Notamacropus eugenii: one gene and its partner. The protein of the gene in region 2 interacts with the protein of the main gene of each other region in a biochemical or structural test. Links are inferred from orthologs where the notes say so. Each region holds a gene or a part of one and is shown on either strand. Other genes may lie near its edges.

Evidence for each region.
Region 1: the proteins of EP300 (region 2) and ATF4 form a complex in vitro, tested with the Homo sapiens proteins (3 studies listed by BioGRID). The link is inferred for Notamacropus eugenii from reciprocal best matches to the Homo sapiens genes EP300 and ATF4.

Annotation. Positions count from the first base shown.
Region 1 is NC_092874.1:298,748,362-298,758,727, forward strand, and holds ATF4 (cyclic AMP-dependent transcription factor ATF-4), read left to right. Parts: upstream 1-6,546; 5' UTR 6,547-6,684; intron 6,685-7,153; 5' UTR 7,154-7,233; coding exon 7,234-7,459; intron 7,460-7,576; coding exon 7,577-8,391; 3' UTR 8,392-8,475; downstream 8,476-10,366. UniProt on the Homo sapiens protein: Transcription factor that binds the cAMP response element (CRE) (consensus: 5'-GTGACGT[AC][AG]-3') and displays two biological functions, as regulator of metabolic and redox processes under normal cellular conditions, and as master transcription factor during integrated stress response (ISR).
Region 2 is NC_092874.1:300,163,790-300,174,432, forward strand, and holds the start of EP300 (histone acetyltransferase p300), read left to right. Parts: upstream 1-5,191; 5' UTR 5,192-5,368; coding exon 5,369-5,462; intron 5,463-10,643. UniProt on the Homo sapiens protein: Functions as a histone acetyltransferase and regulates transcription via chromatin remodeling. Acetylates all four core histones in nucleosomes. Histone acetylation gives an epigenetic tag for transcriptional activation.

The DNA.
Region 1 (10,366 bases), about 1.4 Mb from region 2:
TCTATTGCTGTCCAAGGACAACCTCGTCACTTCTCTGGAGTTGAGCTTGTCCAAGAGGGAGTCAGAAGAGGCAGGACGGAGGGTCATAGGCAGCTCGGGCAGCTTCTTGGCCTTGCTAATCTGTAGCAGTCAAGTCGTGGCCAATGACAGTGGGTGGCTGGTGGGAGGAGACCAGACTGCTTGCTGACGTGCCTTCATAGGGGCACCCAGAGGACCCCTCCTGACTTCATGTTAGCGCTGCAGAGGCCAGGCCTGCCTCCTCGAAGCCTTCAGAGCCTGCCCTTGGAAGAGGGGCACCCTTTGTGCCAGAGGCTGCCAGAACGCATGAATGCCTTCCCTTTGTCATGTATGCCTGTCAGATAGCACCTAGGGGAGAAAGAAGGGCCTTAGAGGGCCAAATGAAGGGGGAAGGGAAAGAAGACTCTTCTTTCTCCCCTTGTTGCCCGCTGCTACAAATGTACTATTTATTGCAATGTAAAGTCATTCTGGGGCCGGGAGATGGGGGGAGGGTTTTAATACATATTGTCATTGTGTCTTACTGTTTTGTGTTTCTTTTTCTGTTTATGGTAAGGGGCTTTTGCTGGCCCTACCTCTGGCCCTCTTACCCAGTATTTTGTATTCCCACTGCCAAATCTGAGTATTTTGCTTCTGCTTTCTCTACCTCCCCACTCAATGAGATTCTTGTACAACTGGGTAACCATCTTTACCTTGTACTTGGGGTAAAATGTTCCACATGACACCAGGTCCTCAGCATCCTCCTGAATTTGTATATTTGTCACAGTCTAGGAAGTGAAGTTCTAGGGGCCCCTTCCCAGAATCCCCACCTCTTACCCTTCATTGCCTACTGAGAAGAGTGGGTGCTTTGACTTTTTGGAGGGGGAGGAGTTGGAAAGATGTCTGTGTGGGATTCTGATTGCTTCTGAGCGATGGGAAGGATGAGAATGCACCTTCCTCAGGGGACTGGAAAGATCCACCCAATAAGGTATTTGAAGTCTCCAGTTTCCCCTCTAGCCTGTGTCTCCAAATCAGCTGTACATTAGTAGCACCTCAGTATTAAATACAAAGCTTCAAAAACAAACCAAACCAGTAAAATCAGGTCCCAGGGTCTCTGGTGAAGTAAAGGCATTTCTCAAGAGGGGAAAAGTGTGTGTGAATGTGAACCGCTTCATCCATTTAGGAAGAATTATTCCAATATATCTTCAGATTCAGACAAGATGATCTTGCCGTACAGTCAGGTAATAGCCCATAGGATCAAAAAGAAAGTCTTTGGGTAATGGTTCTATTGGACACAAAGCTATTGACTGATGAAGGGGAGGGTAGAAGAATTCCAGGTTGAGGGGGGCCAAGGTACTGCTTTCCCTTCAGCAAGCCCCCACATCGGCTCTGTTTGCAGTAACAGCTGATCCTGGAAAAGTTCTTGGCTGGCACAAGCACCTCTCCTCTTGAACGAGTTTATTTGACCTGACTTCATGTCTCAGAAACCCAAATCAATGAGGTTTTGGGGTTCTGCCTTGGCCTAACCCCCAGAAATTTAGGGTAATAGTGGGCATTTCCCCCCAACCCATGTTTGTTTGAGGCATTTTTATCATTAAAGGAAAGAAGTAACTAGTACTTTCTAAGTCCATGCTCCTGATGAAAGGGTTGGCCACCATCTCCACTAGTCCCCTTACCTGCTCCTTTTGCTTCCTTTGCTGCTGCTTCATTGGGGAGAGCAAAGGTGCAGTGGGTCCTGGCAGGGGGGCTGGAAAACAATGGCCCTGGCCCTAAAATTGGCCTGCTAGAGAGACTGACTTTCCTTTCCTGGTTGGGAGTGGGACAGGCCAGACTAGGCTTCCCCAGCTTGAAGCAGATGCCCATCACTTCTCTGCCCTGAGGATTCAGCCCTTGCAAGACCTAGTGATAGCTGAGCAGAGAACCAGGACAGCAGGACGTAGGGTGCTGAAAATGTCTCCTCGGTCACCATCTCTGGAAGCTCATTTGCCCTGTGACCTGCAGGGCTTCTGACCAAGCTCACAAACTGCCTTTTGTTCTGTGGAGTGCAGTATATGCAGTCCTTGATCTACAAACACATCTGGGCTGGTTGGGGTTGGGGGGTGTCTGGGTAAGTGTTCTACTCAGTCCTGCCCAGCACCTTGTCTTTTCTCCTCCCTTCAAACATCAAGGCTAAGGGAGTTGATGACCTTTGAAAGAGTGGGAACGTAAAATAAAAACATTCTTTGCACCAGATTTGACTTTTGTGTTTGATGTAGATCAAACCTATTTTCTCCATGTCTGGAGGCTACTGGTATGGGTAGGGCAGGTTCCTCTGATCTCCCATCTGAGGGTCTTTCCTTTAACCCAAGGAGGTCTTCCTTCAGGACCAGGCAGTTGACTGTAGTGTCCCCATCCTTTCCCTTTGCAGCTTAAAAAGTGGCTTGGTAAGGAGTGTTGGGAGCCAAGGAGAGAACCCCTTTACTTGGCGATGTGCAGCATTAATTTTTGTAGGACTTTGCAGTAATTCAGAAAGATCACATGGTTCCTGTTCCCATGTTTCAGAATCTCTGTGTCTACATACAGAGTGGTTATTCTTCATGTACACACACACACACACACACACACACACCCACCCCCGGATTCTAAGGAGGGAAGACACATGTTGAATTGGACCAAGTATGGTTTCCTTGAAATGTCCCAGTGCAAAAACAACACCTCCTAGGCATGGACCTTTTCTCAGAATTACTCACAAGTGACCCAAATAAAACCCACAGATGTACAAAGGAAATCCCTGGACCCTAAGTTCAGAACAGGACCAGAAGATGCCCCCTCCCCCCCAAGCTGCCTACCAACTTGCTCCCTAATTGGGGATGGAAATTTCTCTTTCCCAGAAAAACTGATGAATAGACTACAGAAATCGGGACATTGCATGCAGCCATCCTCGGCCCCTTCCATTCCCTCCACCCCCATTGCCATTTTCACTCCAAATGAGCCGACTCCCTCTTTTGAGTACTGATATGAGACCACTGCAAATTGTTTAGAGCTGGAAGGGACCTTAGTCCTTATTTTACACATAAGGAAATGGAGGCCCAGAGGATGACTAGTCAATGTTACCTGCACAGGTGATATGACAAAGCCAGAATTTGTACCTGGAGCCATTAACCTTCCCCCTCTAGCACACAGTTTCCAAGTTGAAGTTGGTTCATAAGATTTAGAGCTGGGAGAGATTTGAGGTCATGGAGGTCCCCCCCTCCCATTTTATATCTAGTCACTGTAAGGAAACAAAAAGGCAGAATTTGAACTTAGGTCCCTTAACTATACAAGGGGTGATCAATGTCTTCAGTCTCATCTGCACTAACCCTTAGTTTAAGGCTTGACATATCCGTGGAGTCTCAATAAAGACCTAATTAAGGGGGATCTGGCATGGTTTCTTTCCCTTACTTCTTTTCAGTCTCAAGTGAAGGCAGGTACAGTCAGCTACTGTATTATATTATAAAGGGGTAGCAGGTCTAGGAAATGGGCCAGGAGGGATCATGGGCTTTTTGAACCAAAGGGGAACTTTGAGGTTACCTAGTTAAAACCACTCCCCCCACCCCACACATTTTAACAGTGACTACCATTGGTTCACCGGATTTGCAATCATCAGAGCCCACGTCATTGGGCAACAACAAACAGACCCAGAGAAGGTAGAGTGATTCTCCAGGATTCAGGGCTGGCAGGACCCTTGGAGGTCACGTGATCACCCAGAGGAGGAAGGTGACTTGTCAGTGTTGGGATCTGAACCCACCTCCTGGCTGAGATTCCATGCTGCTTCTAACTAGTGGAAAAAAATACTTTCCGAATCTGAGGGGAGGGGGAAGACCTGAGAGGTTGCCTAGGACCAGTTTTTCAGAGGAGAGAACTGATGCCCCCAAGGAATGAAGTGATGGCTCCAGATTATAGGTAGCAAGTGGCAGAGCAGAAATGGAAATCCAGGGTAGGTGCTCACCTGCCTGCACACCTGGTCTGGGTAAATCCCATCTACTCTCTCAGCCTCTGATTTCTTACTCTGTTCCAAGAGAGGGCAGTCTGCACACTCTAGGCAGGTGAATTTGACATGTTTCTGGTAAAGTTTGAGACATATGGAAGAGATGGGTCTGTGAATTCAGGCACCATTTCTCTAGTTTTCAGGAAAGTATTTTGACAGTCCTTCACACCATCCTCATGGACTAAAAGGAGAGAGATAATGGTGAGACTATATTTGGGGGATTTGGAAGGGGATGACTGATCCAATTGGAGGGAATAGTAACCCTAACCCTTTTAAGGCCCGAGGCTGATTATTTTTATCTGTGACCTGGATATCAGCAGATGCCAAAGCTAGCAATGAGCTGACGTGCTGAATGACAGAATGAGTCCCCAAAGACCTCAACAGCCTTGGATGATAGAACAAATCTAGTGAATTGCAATGAATAGGGATTAAAGTTAAGGCCCTACATTTGGACAACTGCACAAGGGCAGGATGGATGGCAGAGGCATGGCGAGACAGTTGCTGTGCAAACAGTATGGGCATTTTTGTAAGCAAGAGTCAACAGTAAGACACAGCTGCCTTTAAAAAAGCTCTTGGAAACAATGCATTTATTTAAGAGGTGCACCATGTTCAAGACCAGGGAGGGGAGTCCTGCCATCTTTCATTCTGTCAGCCTACACCTGGGGGATCCTGTTTGTTTCTAAAACTAGGACATTTGGCAAACTGGATTACATGCCAAACAAAGATCAGCTGGCAGGACCAGGGAGTGTTTAGCCTGAAAAAGAGGAGGGGATAGGGATGAGGGAGGGGGGAAGAAAAAGGAGATGTGATGGGCTGCCAGGGGAAGGGAGATCAAATTTGTTTTGGTGCCAGAGGGTGAGGAGAGGGAGGCAGATCTCAGCGCAACTCAAGGAAAACTTAGCAATTCTAGGCTCACAATCCCAGAGTTGGAAGAGCCCATCCATGGACATCCAGTCCAAGCCGCCCCAACCTCCTTCCAAGAGAGGATTCCCTCTGTTAGGGCACGAAGGCCCCGGATTTTTGTCCGTTTCTGTCCCCAGAGCTGCTCTGCGGTGTTTGGACGGCACCAACTTCGAATCTGCCTCCCTTCCCTCTCGGTTTCGTTCTAAAGGGACACCCCCTAAAACCTGTCCCTCCTAAGCTCGCTCTTCTAGTGCACCCCGACAAGGACCACCCCTCCCTCTCCCCACGTCTAACTTAAATGCCCCCCTGGAGTGCAACAGCTGTTTTTGGCCTTGGAATCAATGACTGGGTGGGGGTGGGAGTCTGTCACAACCCCCACCCCTGGGGATGCTTTCGAGTCAGCTGTCTAGACCAGCGGCCCTCCACTTGGCCCTTCTAGAGAAGCCGGTATTTTGGGACCGTGCCCCTGCGCCTGGACATTGATCTTTCTTCGCTTTCACCCAATGTGATCGATCAATCAATCAATCTTTCCAACCAGAGGTAGAAGAGCGCCTGGTGGGAGGACGTCCAATTCAGTCCATTAAGGGGGCAAGGAGCGTCCCTCCACCCCCACCCCGAAGGAGGGGCGCCTCAAACTAGAAGAGGCCGACCCGACGGGGTGAGCCGCCCCGCCCTTCTTGGGGGTCAGGAGAACCAGCCACCTCGGACCGCGTAGCGTGGAGGTCACTGGGCCTCAGTTTCTCCCCCTCCCCCCCGTAATAAATTCGGGAGCCGGGCCAGCCTAGGCCTCAGCCTCCCGTCTCCGGAGGGGGCGGGGCTTCGGCCCGAGCTTAGAAAGAAGGGGGTGGGGGATGGGAAATCCGGCTTCGAGGCCGCCCCAGGCCCTCAGAGCCTGCAGGGACCATGGGTAGCCTGCCGGTGGTGCCGGAACCCAGAACTAGCCAGGGCCTGACTGCGTGGGGGTGGGAGTGACTGTCGCCAGCCACCTGTCGGGCCCCTCCCCGCCGCCACGGCCCGCCCGACGCCATCCCCTTCCCGCGCCCGCCGCCTTCTTCCAAACCCGCCAGTCGTTGGACTCTGGACCAATGGGAGCTCGAGCTAGGGGTTGAGTCATCCCGCTGCGGCCAATCAGCGCTGTGGCCTCACCCACGCCCCTCTTTCTTCATCGAGTCTCGCGCGATTTCTGAGTTTCCTCGCGACTCCACATTGATGCAAACAACGCCGCATAGATTGTCACGCTCTACCTCCCAGCCACTCCCAGCCCCGCCCTCGTTCCCGGATGCTGGAGTGAAGCGACCGCGTCTTGGATTCTTCCGCAATCCGCTGGGGGGAGAAGGGAGGGGAGTTGTGAAAATAGTCCCTGACCTTCCGCCAGTTTGGGGGAGATTTTAAAAGGCATTTGTCTCTTCCCTTTCTTTGGCAGCCGAGAATCGTGACCGGAGCTGGAGGAAGAGAAGGGGACCGAGAGACATAGAGCGACGGAGGTCCGGGAGAGCGACCACGTGACGCCGGCGGAAGAATACCTAGGCAGGGGAGGCCGCTCGCGTCACTGGTAGCGCGCAGTATAAGACGCTGGAGGCCGGCGCGGCCGCCATTTTCACGCCCGCCCAAGCAGAGACTCAGTGGTTCCCGTGCTGCTCGGCTCGGCCCGACCCTCGCCATCCCCGACGCCCGCCATGGCGTTCTAGAGGCGGCAGCGCCTGCGGCAGCATCGGCCCTTGCAGCGGCGGCGGCAGCAGCTCCGGGCTCTGCAGCGGCAAACTCGAGCGCGAAGCCATGGCGTGAGTGGGGGGGAGGGGGAGCGGCCGCGGGAGGTGGGCCTCGGGCTTCCCGGGCTTGGTTTGGCTGTCTGTTCCGTACGTGTCGGACTAACGAAACAGGTCGCGCTGTTGTCTGTCTCTAAACCCGTTTTGGGGGAAAAGTGCGCAGTCCCGACCTCCCCCATGCAAAGCGTCCGTGCCGCCCCCCTTCGGGGGAGAACGAGCCCCCTCTTGTGACGGGAGGGGCTGGCGCGGGCGCGCTGCCAGCGCCAAACGTGGCAGGGAGGGCGCTCCAAGGAGACAAGATGGCCGGCGCTTCCGCGCGGGGGTCGGAGGGGGGCCGCGGGGCGGGGCGTGAGTCACTCTGGCCGGCGGGGGCGGGGCGGCGCCTCGAGCCGTACATGGACTGCGGGCGGAAGTGGGGCCCCGCCCGCCCTCGGGGAGGGGGATGGGCGGCGGGGGTCTCACGGCTCGCGCCCGGCTCTTGCAGGCTTTCCAAGGCCTCCAGCAGCAGCATTGCTGTCAGCCGAGACTCCTCTGCCTTCCTCCAACTGACGAAAGCCCCGCAGCATGACGGACATGAGCTTCCTCAACAGCGACCTGTGGTTGGGGGACTTGCTGTCCCCCTTGAGCCAGTCGGGTTCGGCGGTTGAGGAAAGCCTGAGCCCCTTCGATGACTACCTGGAGGAGGCCAAGCCCTTCAAATCGCATGGGCTCCCCAGCGACCAGGCTAAGGCAGTCTCTCCCGATTGGCTGGCTGTGGATGGTGTGGTCAACGCCACAGACTACGGCAAGGGTAAGAGTGGGGTGGGGGGCGGGGCCGTGGGCGGAGGCTGCCCGCCCCCCTGCTCGCTGCGGCTCGTGGTCCCACCTGGTCACCGCTCACAGGGTCACGGGCTGCTTTGTCTTGCAGAGGATGCCTTCTCCGGCATGGATTGGATGGTGGAGAAAATGGATCTGAAGGAGTTTGATTTCGATGCCTTGTTGGGTATGGATGACCTAGAATCCACCTGCTCTGAGCTCATTGCCACGTTGGAAGACTCATGTGATCTGTTTGACCCCTTGGCCTCTACTAACAAAGATTCCCCTTCAACAGTCAGTTCAATTGGCCAGTTCCCCGAAACTCTACTTGAACCTGATCATGTCACCCCCCTCACCTCCCATCCGTCTTTTCCCTTTTCTGTAATGGCCCTGATCTCCACGCCAGACCATTCTTTTAGTTTAGAACTAGGTAGTGAAGTGGATGTCTTGGAAGGAGACAGAAAGTCAGAAGCTGTTTATGGGGTGATGCCTAAGGACATCAAAGAGGAAGAACCCCCTTCAGATAATGACAGTGGAATTGGGACCTGTACCAGCCCCGAGTCCTACCTAGGCTCTCCCCAGCATAGCCCCTCCACTAACATGGGTTTACTGACTGAGAGCCAGCTCTCTTCAGATGCCACATTTCTCTCAGCCCGCCTGAAACCATACGACCGTCCCCTTGAGGACAAGAAAGAGAAAAAGGTAGATAAAAAACTAAAGAAAATGGAACAGAATAAAACTGCTGCCACGAGATACAGGCAGAAAAAGCGGGCAGAGCAGGAGGCCTTATCTGGGGAGTGCAGAGAGCTAGAACAAAAGAATGAGGCTTTGAAGGAGAAAGCAGATGCCCTTAGCAAAGAGATTCAGTATTTGAAGGATTTGATAGAAGAGGTCAGGAAAGCCAAGGAAAAGAGGAAAAGTCCCTAAGTTGTTGGGTAGTCATGTACTTTGTGTGTATATAGGAGTCTTGTGCTGTCTTACTCAATAAATTATTTTGTAGTAAAAGTGCAACTTGGTAGTTTTAATGTGCTTCATCAGAAGGCTGGACTCTGAAAACGCTTTTGAGAGGGCAAATTTTAGTTGGAGGAGGGAACCAACACAAGGTACCCTAGATCAGCTGGAGGTTGGGAACAAATCTGAAGGACAACACAATAATGAGAAAACTTCAGGGCCCTGGAAATGACGCCTGTGTCCCTGGGTATCCAAAATACTGAACCTACAGAAAAGGGAACGTCAGGAATCTTTACCCGTAATTTGTACGTAGAGTAAGGAGAGAAGCGTGTCTGCTCATAAGCTTGAGATTCTTTGTGAGACTGGGCAAGTTAAATTACTATGAGCCATAAATTTATTACTCCAACCCTAGCACTGTGTGGAAGGGGGTCCATAGTTTGAAAGTCAGGGATCTGTCTTCCCATTTAGCTTCATAGGGCAATCCATCTTGGCCAGTCAACTCTTCCCATCCTGGCAAGTGGACTTGCCCCTACGTTTGGATGGGGGTTTTGAGGAGCCCATGATAGCTGTCATCAGATAGTGGTCCCAGCATTAAATCTCAGAAATGAATGAGGCTTGAGAGATAAGCCATAAAAGCATGCTTGCTATCGAGCCATCCTTGCGTCAGGGAAGGGAGTCAAGAAGAAACAGATGGAAAGGGAATGATACCAAGGGTAAGAACGAAGAACGTCATCTTTTGGTCGTAGAGACTGCCAGCGGAACAACGGGAGGTAAGGATGGATGGCAGGAAGGGCAAACATTCGTTCTAGTTCTCCCCCTGCCTCCCAAAAGGAAGAGAATGACGAGTTGCCCCAAGAACAGTGAGTGCATGTTCCCAAGAGGCATTTAGCTAAGCTATGTGTGCCTTTTGTCAAGAACGGCTACTTCCTTTCTTTTTGACCCAGGTCACCAAACCTGGCAGACAGAATGCACTATGGAGACCAATTGGAGACTGTAGCAAAACCTTTGATTAGATGGAGGCATGTGGGCTTAGATGATAAGATAATAAAAGTCAGTAGGTTTGGAACTGAGTTAACAGCTAAGCTCATTAAAGGTTCTAAGTTAAGAATCAGGGCCTGGTCACCTGGGGATGTTTTCCTTTCTAACATTTAACGTTTCTATTAAAGCCTTAAATAGCTGATACTATGCTTATCAGATGTGCTGGTAATTGAAGCTGGGAGGGAAAACTGACAGGTAGGTGCCCTCCCAGGACACCAAAAAAAAAAATGTCAACAGGCTAGAACATTGGGTTGAATTTAATAAAATAAAATGTAGTAGGGATAAATATGAACTCATGTCCAAAAACTGAATTCAGTATAACTTAAAAAAAAATCAAAAGGATGAGTTTTTAAGGGGTTGCAAGTTGAGTGGATCAGCCATGTGATGTGGTTCAGCACAGTCCGGAGAAAACTTGGGGAGGGGGTAGCTATAGTCACAATTGTGGAATGATTCAACTCATCAGCTCAGAATCAGAAGGCAAATTCAAGCTGGACATCAGAAAACGCTCCTGTCAGGTGTCCAGAAATGGAATGGGACTTATTGGGAAAGTGACCACTCTTCCCTGCTTCCAGGTCCTTTGCTGTGTCTGCTGTGGTGAGGATTCCTTTTCAGATATGGTCTAGACAGTCATGTCCAAACCTGAAATTCCATGTTTCTGTGAAATGAACAGGAGTCAGCACATTTTGACTCAGGCCTAAAATTTTTTCTGGTTCCCTGAGGACCTCCATGTCCAAAGAGCTAATTAATTAGCAGGTGAGAAATCATTTTATTGGATCCAAACCATAGAATGTGAACTTTCTTTCTGTGCCACCCCCTGAAAAAGCTAGAAGGGAAGGGGAAGGCTCATGCTTGCCCCCAGGAACTCTGACCATTCCCAGAAGCAGCCCCTCAGGAAATGCACTCCTCAGCGAAC
Region 2 (10,643 bases):
TCCCACCTCTGCACTTTTGTACTGGCTGTCCCCTCCACTTGGTATGCTTTGCCCTCTCACTTTCACCTTTTAAGTTTCTCTGGCATGTTTCAAAGCTCAGTTCAAAATGCACTCTCTGCAGGGGACCCTTTCTCATCCTCCACTCTCCCCCCTCCTCACCCCCCAGTCCTTTCTAATTTCTCTTCATCTAATCTGTATACATGATGAATATACCTATATACCTAGTTATGTACGTATTGTCTCCTGCCTTGGAATGTGATCTTCTTGAAGGCAGGTTCCATATTTTTATCTTAGTATCCCTAAAATTTAACAGAGTGCCTGGCATGCAGTAGGCACTTAACACATCAATATGACTGATTTATACCATTTCCTGAATGTGCCATTTCATCTTCCAACTCCTTAGCTTTGCCCAAGCTGTCCCTCCTGCCCAGAATGCCCTCCCTCATTACCTCTGCCTCTTAGAGGCTCAGTTCAACAGCCTCCAGTTACCTGAGACCTTTTCTGATCTCCTCAATCACTGCAATTATTTTTTAGTTACTCTATTTATCTGTGTTCAAGTTGTTTTCCCCAACAGAAAACTTGTTTTGGTTTTGTTTTTTGTAGCCCATAGGGCCTAGCACCTAGCCTTTTAAAAAAATTGTAAGATCATAGGTCTTGATTAGTGCTGTAGAGGAATTCCAGACAAGTGGCCATATTATTTGAATTCATATTTCATATTTTCATTAGGCTTCAACCAATGACCATATTTTACATGACCATAACTTCCAACTGGTGGGTCACCCCAAGGATACTTCTGTCCCATTCTGTCTACTTGCCACATAAGCACAGCCAACACCAGGTCTCTATGTGTGATTTAGCGAGTCAAGAGATCTGAGTAGAAATGTTCAAATGGGCTGAAACCGTCATAAAGAAGTAATTGCAAACCACACTGACAGTAACTTTTCAATGTGGAGAGTTTATGCATGAGGTGGGGGGAAGGGGAAATAGGATGGCTGAGAAGCAGAAACCCTGCTGGTTACAGTTTGAATGGAAAGAAGCAGCTTTGTACAGAGCAAGAGCAGGGACAGAAAAGCAACTTGGTAAATGGTAAGCAACTTGGCTTTGTGGTTGGACTCAATTACTGTTTATTTTTTTTAAATGAGACAATCAGGGTCAAGTGACTTGTACAGGGTCATACAGTCAGTGTTTGAGGCCACATTTGAACTCAGGTACTCCTGATTCCAGGCCTGGTGCTCTATCCACTGTACCACCTAGCTGCCCCTGAATTGCTGTTTTAAAACTTACCAGGGGGGCGACCTTGGGGCAAGTCAATGCCCCTTTGTGGGCCTCAGTTTCCTCCTCTGTAAAATGAGGGAGTTGGGCCTGATGGTCTTCTCCTAAATTTTATGATCTTATGGCCCAAAGTTTAGAAATGTCAGGCTTCTCTGGAGTCCTGAAACTCCCAGGGGAGCAGAGCAGTAAATCCAGGGGGAAGGGTTAGAAATGAGGACTTTTTTTTTCTTTAACCACTGTTCTGATGTCATCTCAGTGAAACAAATTCCTTGCTTTTCCTTCTTACCACTGTCTACCTGCTCCTTCCCTAGGGGAGATATGTGGAGGGAGTGGGGCCTGGAGTTGGAAGGGACACTTACTGGCCCAATGACCCTGGGCAAGTCACTCAGTTTTTTCAGCTGCAGACTGGGGACAAAATAGCACCTCCCTCACCAGGTTGTTGTGAGGATCGTATGAGAGAACTGGAAGGCACTGAGCACACTGCCTGGTACGTAGTAGGTGCTCTATATCCTAGTCATTACTATTTTCTTCCCTTTGCAGGAAAAGAACTTGTGTAATAGAAAGAGCCTCGGATTTGGATCAGAGGAACTGGGTTCTAATCCCAATGCTTTCTCAATAGCTATGTGATCTTGGCCAAATCCTCTCCTACTTCAAGGCCTTAGCTTCCTGAATAGATCATTCAGCAAGAATTTATTAAGTGATTGCTAAGTGCTAGTCAGTCAGGGCAGTTACCAGGGCAGCTAGCTGATACAGTGGCTAGAGCGCCAGGCCTGATGTCAGGAAGTTCAAACTTCCCTGAGTTCAAATCAGGTCTCAGACACTTAACTAGCTGTGTGACTCTGGGCAAGACATTTCACTCTGTTTGCCTCAGTTTCCTCATCTGTAAAATTGAGCTGGAGAAGGAAATGGCAAACCACTCCAGTATCTCTTGCCAGGAAAACCCCAAATGGGGTCAGGAAGAGTCTGATAGGACTGAAACAACTGAACAACATGTTCCAGGACCAACACTTAGTTCTCAGGAGGTGAGTGGGTGGGGAAGACAACAAGCAAATATGTACAAACTATATACAAGATAAATAGGAAATAATTAAGAGAGGGAAGGCATTGGAATGAAGAGGGGTTGGGGAAAGCTTCCTGAAGAACTGGGAACTGAGGTGGGGCTTAAAGAAAGCCAGGAAATGTTATTAAAGGAGGCAAGAAAATGTTCTTCTTAGAGAAGGCCCCAACCAGCAGCTGTAAAATACATAGTCTGAGATTTCTATTTTCTCTGCATACTGAATTTATGTCCATTATATCAATTTATATCCATTATATCATTTGAACCTCCTGAGCACCTAGTGAAGCAGGTATGAATGCAGGTATGAATGAAAAACATTTATCCTGTGCTCAGTATGTGCTAATCAATGGGGTTACAAACACAGGCACTTTAAAGTTTTATTTTAGACATTTTACAGAGGAGGAGACTGAGACAAAGAGCAATTTGCTCATGAGTACACAACTAAGAGATGACAGGGACAAAATTTAAACTTTGGTTTATCCAGAATCTAAGTTCCAGGCTCTTTTCATTGTCGGAGGCCATGTGGACAATCCTAGGATTCCATACTTTGGAGGCAGGAGGTCCTCTCAGCCTAGTGATTGCAAAGAATCAGAGGCAGAAGGGTCTCCAGGGGCCCTCTTGGTCAAATCTCTGAATCGAATCCCCTCCCTCTATCACACACCTGACAGGTGGTCATACCGACTTTGATTAAAGACCTAAAACCAAGGGAGGAGGGGAAGCCCACTATCTTCTCTTTAACCTCCATTTTGTAGAACAGGAAACAGGGATCATAGAAAGCTGGAGGGACCTTCCAAAACCACCTAGTCCAACACCCTCAAGTTTGGGTTTTTGTGAGACTGGAGGAGATATGCGCAGGGGTCATATAAGTATTAAGTGCCAGGGGAAGGCTTTGATTTCTTGTCCTCTGACTCTCGTTTGTACCAAGGGGATGATGACTTGCCAAGCTCTCTCAAACAGTAACAGCTTCAGCTTAGGTCCTCTGCCTGGATCCCAGTCCATACTTACAAAGATTCTATTTGTAAAGTATTAGAACAGCGCATGGCACATAGTAGGCTCTAATAAATGCTTGTTCCTTCGGCCCCCTGCCGCTCCCTCCATCCAAGGAAGGGTGTCAAAACCAAGGGTTCTTCATGCTGTTTATGTCCCTTCTCCGAGTCATGTCATTCAGTGAATAAAATAAAACATAGAGGAGTGTAACTGAAGTGCTGTGATCACGGATGGCAAGTTAAGAGTCTCAGATAATCCACGTCAAATGGAAAAACAGGGGTGGGTCTGGGGGAGGGGGAGGAAAGTGCATTAGGCTCCGGCTGCAGCGGATCCAGGTTCCGTACTACCAGCGGGGCTTTGGGCTATCACAAACCGCTCCCCTGCCCGTGCCTCAGTTTCCTGCTCTGTAAAAGGAGCGGCACGGAGGCAGTCAGTCGGCGCGATCTCTTCCAGCTCTATTTACCAGTAACCCTCCCAAAGTGCTGCGGCCCTCCGTGCCCACCTCGGCCCCGAGGCTGGCGCACTGGCTCGAGTCTCGGCTTTTCCTAGGGGCAACACCTGCCGGACCAGGGCGGGGTTGGCCGGAGTGGCCTGCGGGGGGCGGGCGGGCGCTTCCGATTAATTACATGTCATTCTTTCTTTATTAATCAGGCCTGGGGGTGGGGGCGGCAGGAGCCAGGAATAGGGGTCTGCTAGGTGGGAGGGGGTGGAGGACGGACAGGGGCGCATTAGGAGGCAACCCCCTGCGCAGTGCCTGGGCTCATTTCAGGGCGTAGCACCTTCCTCTCCTCTCTCCCAGCGGAGGCCAGCGCCAGCAACTCCCGCGCCGTCCTTACCCTCCGACTTTAAATTCCTCCTTACCCCCCCCCCCCTTCCGCTCCTCCCCTTTAAGAATGACGCTCGCTTGGGGAGTTTGCGGAAGCCCCCTGCGCGTTGTCGACGGGCGGGCGGGGGGAAGGCGAGGAGGGGGCGGTCCCGGGCTCGGCCAGTGCCCCGCCTCCTGCGGCCTTCTCGGTGCCCATTGTGCGAGCCTATCCGAGGGGGGGCAGGCCCCGCCCCTTCTCCTCGGGTTCCCTCCCCCCGCCGCCGTCCGTCCGTCCGCCTCCGGCCCCGCCCCCTGCCCCCCTCCCCCTTGGCTCATTTCCGGCCCCCGCCGTCGCTACTGCTGCTGCTGCCCCGGCCGCCGCCGCCGCTGCCGCCGCCGCTGCTGCTGCTGCTGCTGCTGCCGCCGCCGCCGCCGCCGCCGCCGCCGCCGCCGCCGCCGGCGCTCGCCTGGGAGCAGGAGGAGCAGGAGGAGGCGGAGGCGGAGGAGGAGGGCTGGGGGAGGAGGAAGAGGAGGAGGAAGAGGGAGGACTAGGCCGAGCGGAGCGGACGGAGAAGAGCGGAGCGCAGCCGAAGCGAGCGCAGCCGAGCGCAGCCGAGCCGAGGCGGCCGAGCCGAGCCGAGCCGAGCCGAGCGCGGCCGAGGCGAGGCGGGGCCCGGGCCGAGCCGAGCGGGCGCCGCGCAGCGCAGCCGGAGCCGCGCAGCCGAGCGCCGCGCCGCGGACGAACAACAGCCGCCATTTTGTTTGGGTGCGCGGCCCGGCCCCGGAGGAGGCGGAGGCGAGGCCCAGGCCGAGGAGGAGGCGGAGGCGGGCGGAGGAGGCCCCGCGGCGCGGCCCGGCCCGAGCCGCCGCCGCCGCCGGAGAGGCAGCAGCAGCGGCGGCAGCGGCAGCACGATGTGAGGCGGCGGCCCGGCCCGACCCGACCCCCGGCGACGAGCCCCCGGGCCGGCGATGAAGACGGCGACGAGGCCGCGGCCCATGGCGCCCCGCAGGCCCCAGCCCCGCCAGCGCCCCGACGAGCGGCCGGGAGCCGCGCCGGCCCCGCCACTAGGGGGGGAGCGTGCGTGAGCGTGAGCGTGCGTGGGAGCCAGTGTGAGTGTGCGTGAGTGTGCCCGCCGGAGCCGGAGCGAGCGAGCGAGCGAGCGAGCGAGAGCCAGAGAGCGAGCGAGCGCCGAGCGGAGCGGAGCCGAGCCCAGCCCAGCGGAGCCCGCGGCCCGCAGCCCGCAGCCATGGCCGAGAACGTGGTGGAGCCCGGGCCGCCCGCCCCCAAGCGGCCCAAGCTCGCGTCCCCGGCCCTCTCTGTGGCCGCCAGCGATGGCACAGGTCAGTCCGGTCGGCCCCAGGTGCGCGGCCCCTGCCGGGGTGGGGAGGTGGGGGGGTTGGGGGGGTGGGCCCCCAATGGCCCGGGAAGCTGCGTCTCCTGGCCGGGCTGCGGGAGCCCGTCGCCTTCCGGGCCCTGAGTCTCCCTCGCCCCCCCACCCCCAGCGCCCGCACGGCTGGTTTTCCTCCCCACTTCCTACTTTTTCCTCCCTTCCCCTTCTTTCCTGGATCTGGGCTGAAATGGTCCCTGCCTCCTTGAGTATTTTCGCTGTGGACCTTGAGTCTCCGAGGCTGGACGTGCGGGGCGTCTTCGCCTTCCCCTTGCCCCGTAATCCTCGGTTCGGGTTTTTTGCCACTGGCGTTCGGAATCAATATGGAGTATGCACGGGCCGAGCTTGCTCTGCATCTCCCGTGGCTTCGCTTGCTCAGACCAAAATGTCTGAAGCTCCTTTAGGCTCAGCAGGTTGAGGAAGAGCGAGGACAAGGGTTAGTTTGGCTTTTTTCGGGGGGGCGGGTGGACCTGCTGGCTCTAGACTGTCTTCTATCGGCTTTTTTGGGTTTGGGGAGCGACGTACAGATTTAGGGAGCGGGGGCCCCGAAAGGCAGGCTGGAAGTTGAAGGCGAAGCTGCGGGTTTCCCAGGATCCAAGAAACCACGAACTGGTTGCACTGGAACTTAGTTGGCAAGGAGTGGTTTAGATTTTTTGGATGCTTCGACTCGGTTCAAGATGCCTAGTTCAGGTTTTTAGCATTCGCAGTTCTCGGTGTTTCACTCTGTTTTGGGCTCGGCGTGGTTTGTGTGTCGATAGAGACATTCGGAGACCCTCTTGCCGTCTCCCACCCTGATGGCCACCGGTCTCCTTGTTCCTTGTTGTGTAGTTGGAGCTGCCAGGAAAATGAAGAGGAAAAATGGCTGGCCATCTGACAGTAAGGGAGACCTTGTTGCTCCCGCCGTGAAGGGTCGGTCTCGATCAGGCGCTAGTTTGGGAACATCTGAAACAGCTCGATGGGAATAGATGGACACAGTGCATCGTGTCCGCCAAGATGGAAGGATGGGCGTTTATTTTGCTAAATGACTTTAAAATCCTCAAGTTTGGAGAGAATTTTACCTAGCCTTTTGGGATATAGACACCATTTTACAGTGGGAGAATGGGAATTTGACAAATGCTTGAGATGGGGTTAATAGGAGTGTAGGAGAACTTTGATATTGGGCATTGGTTTTAAAGGTTAAGACTGGGTTCGTTGCATCTGAAGAACCTTCTCTCCGATGGTATTCAAAAGGAGGAGGGGATTATAAAGGAGGTACACTGCTGTTCTTAAACATGTATTTTTCCATTCTTGAAAGGCATTCCAAATTTGATTCTTGAATTGCGGATCTACCAAGTTCATTTAAAAAACAGTGGAGCATGTATGAACCCTAGAATACATGTGGATATCACTATGTAGATGTGCCTTTGTTAATAATAGGGCCTGATTTACAAATCATTTACTTTGAAATTTGGGTATGTTGGTGAGCACAGACCTCCTGGGAAGATATTTTGGTTTCTTCATACATTTTACAGATGAGAAAGAATTTTAGGTAAATAATTTCTCTAAAAAATATGTATTCACAAGAATCCAAGTTCTTAATTTTTGCAGGTTAGAATGCTAATCTCCAATAAGCTAATTCTAGTTATGAATAGAAATGGTTTATTCAGGTGCCTACTCTGTGCCAAGCCACTTATCCTGGGGGAGTGGGGGTGCTTTAACTTTGATTCACTTCTTACTACTTGAAATTTTCTTATTTTACACAGTAATTGGCATCCTTAATAGTGGCTACCTGAATGTTTCAGTTGACTTTCAGGAGCTCACTAAAGACGTAACTTTCATCTGTTGAATTGTCTGTCTCGATCTAACTTCACTAAATAACTTTTTAAGTGATTTCCTTATTCAATTTTAGTTATGGTGTAAAAGATTTTAGAAACTTGCTCATAGTGATCCCTGGTTTAGAAAGGTCCAACAAATGGTTTCCTTCTGAATTTTTTTTTGTTGGCTAATTTTGACTGGCAAGCTTAGCCTTGGAGTGCTGAGAGTACAGAACTTTGGAGTTCTCCCTCTTGTAATGTGGGAGTGAAGTAAGTACCTGGCCTCTTTTTTTCAGGATTTTAGTCTATAGACTGGATATTATCTAATTTCCCCCTGTCTATTTTTGACATGCAAACTATATTGCCACTTTTGATCCCTTTGGATGATTGAGAGAATTCTAAATGTGTTCACGAGTTATTTTTATAAATTTTGTTGACTCAATATTTGAATAAATATCTTTGCTCATCATATGAGGTTTTCATTTTGCTCCACTTGCTTCGTCTTTCTCTAGTTTTGACCTTAAGATGTGTTTCTCACCTCCCCCAGCCACCCTCTTGAGGAGTAAGAGGTCTTTGCTAATATTTTAACTTTGCTAAAATTTTGTCTTTTAAGAAAGGAAGCTTGTAAGTTTGACATAACATAATTCATAAAATAAATCCTTTTGCATTTTAATATCCAGTGTTTTCCAACTTACAGGTAGTTTTCAATACTTTGGCAACCAACGTCTTTTTTTAGCTTTGGCCTTTTTCTAACTTCAAATTCTATATTTCAACTTTAGAAGAAATGAGTCACCTGTGTTGGTGATAATTTACAAACTAAAACTGTTCACTGTGCTGAGAATTGCTTTGGAGACATAATTGCCAGTGGCATTGCAGATGGATTTGAGTGGAGCCTAATGCCAGGAAATTTTTTCTTTTTTGATAATTCAGTTCCCTTGTTAAAAAGTGTGCCTTTGTAGTAACCTACTGTCCAGGAATTTTGACAGGCAAGTGAAAATGATAATAGATTAAGAAACTGAAAGCCCAGGTTGGTTCCTTGATTTGCCGAAGGTCAAAGCATGTGCAATGGCCCAGCCCGGGTTAAATGGCTTAGCCTTTGAATGAGACTGTCCCAGATGTGTATCAGCACAGTTAGTACTAGGAGCATAGTATGGCCTTAGTATGGTTCCAGGTCTTCTTTTTAGCTGAAGTTTGTCCAAGAGCTTGTTTTTCCCTGCTTGATTTGAGTGACTTATATCAGTTGCTTTTTTAGAACTGAGAGAATGTTAGACTTCTACTTGAACATCGTGGCTTGGAACCAACGGGAACTTGCTTCAAGTTAGTGCTGGACTTGGAGGTAAACAGGTGAGAAAGTGAATTTAGGCCCCAGTAATAATTTTTGGATGGAAGGCTTTCTTGACAGAGTTACTGAAATGACCGATATTAGTGCTTAAAAAATAACTAAAATCTACCGTCAAGTTCAAGTACACGTATCTCTTGAAAAACCATTACAACAGAGCCTTTTCCGTAGGCTTAAATTTATTCTAAATGGTATTCATAACTCATCAGATATAGAGAGAACATACAGATTGATTGTAGAACCTAAAAGTTTGAACTTCCTACTGAAATCTAGGAAACCCCACTCTGACCCTCTTGACTGATGGTGGGTGCTGATTGATCCAATGCCACACAAGTCACAGATTAGGGAAGTCTGACCATGATTTTAGAGGAGCTTTGAATGAAGAGAAGATTTAGAGATGGAATATTGAGCTGCAGGGATCACTCACCATTTTAAAAGAATATCAAAGCTTTTGGAAAGCTCTGATGGTATCAGTTGACTTTGTACAGTTTTCATGTTTGGATTTCATATGCATGTATTTGTTGTGCAGAAGGAGTACTTCATGCCTCGCTAGTGTAGATCAACATAGATAATGCTTGTCTTGGATTAAAGAAAGGTGGCACTTGCATTAAAGGAGACACTGGAGTTGATTGAACTGGGAGTTAGATGAGTTGGTCAGATCTGCATTTTGGAAGGATCTATCTGGCAGCTGAGGGGGATAGGGATTGGAGTGGGGTTTTCATCAAGAGAGAAGAGGGCTAAGTGGTGATGTGACAAAGATTGTGGATAGGAGGGTGGCCCCTCTACCCTGGGAGGGAAGTTAGGGTGGGGTGGGAAGATAATGAGTTGGTTAATGTCTGTTTTGGACTCATTAAATTTGTCTGCAGTGCATCCAATCCAAGATGTATGATAGGTAGTTGGAGCTGCAGGACTGGAAGTAGAAGAGAGGTTGGTGCTGGATAAGTAGATTTGGGAATCATGGATGTAGAGGGAATAAATGCATCCAGGGGAGCTGACAGTTCACCAAGAGAAATTGTATAAAAAGGAAGGAAAAGATGGGGGGGCACACTTATGGTGAGTGGGTGTGATCTGGATGAAGATCCACCAAAGAAAACTGAGAAAGGAGGGATCTTACTGGTAGGAAGAGAACCAGAAGGAGGTCAGTCACAAAAGACCCAAGGTGTCAAGAAGAGGAGGATCCACAGTATCAGGGGCTGAAGGGACATCAGGAAGGATGAGGACTGAGAAAAGGCCACTAGATAGGGCGATCTGAAGCCTGACTGCAGAGCTGAGAAGAAAACAAGAGGAAAGAAAGTGGAGGCATTGGTTACTCAGTGTAGACTTCTCAAGAAATCCCTGCAATTCAGTCTCTGGAACTGGAGGAGAGTTACTAGGTATAGTTAAGTGAGGGTAGATCCTCAGGTGAAAGGGAGATCTGTAGGGGTTGTAGGCAATGGGGGAGCAGTTAGCACATAGGGAGAGACTGAAGATTATTGGGAGAGAAGGGGCAATCTGTTGGAGAAAGTGGATGAAATGGAATCACTAATGCCTTGACAAGGAGAAGATATTGAGAAACACATTTGTTGGTGACTTGGGCAGCTAATAATAGATAGTATTTGTATAGATTCTTAAGGTTTACAAAGCATTTTTAAGTATGATCTCATTTGATCCTCGCAACAACCTTGTAAGGTAGGTGCTGTTTCTATCCCCATTTTACAGATGGGGGAACTTGAGGCTTAGGGGTTAAGTGACTTGCCTAGGGTCACACAGCTAGTGAGTATGAGGCAGAATTTGAGCTCAGAGCTTCCTGACTTCCAAGTCTAGCACTTTGTATCCACTGCACCATCTAGCTTCCTCAAGGTAAGACCTGTCCTGGGGCCTTAAGATTGTTAGTATATTAACAAATCATCCAGGAACTCCTTTGGCTCTTTGCTGGTCTGGAATATCCAGTGTCTTAAACTTTTACATTCAGAAATTTGATTTTGGTGGAAGAGAGAGAGAGAGTGTGTGTGTGTGTGTGTGT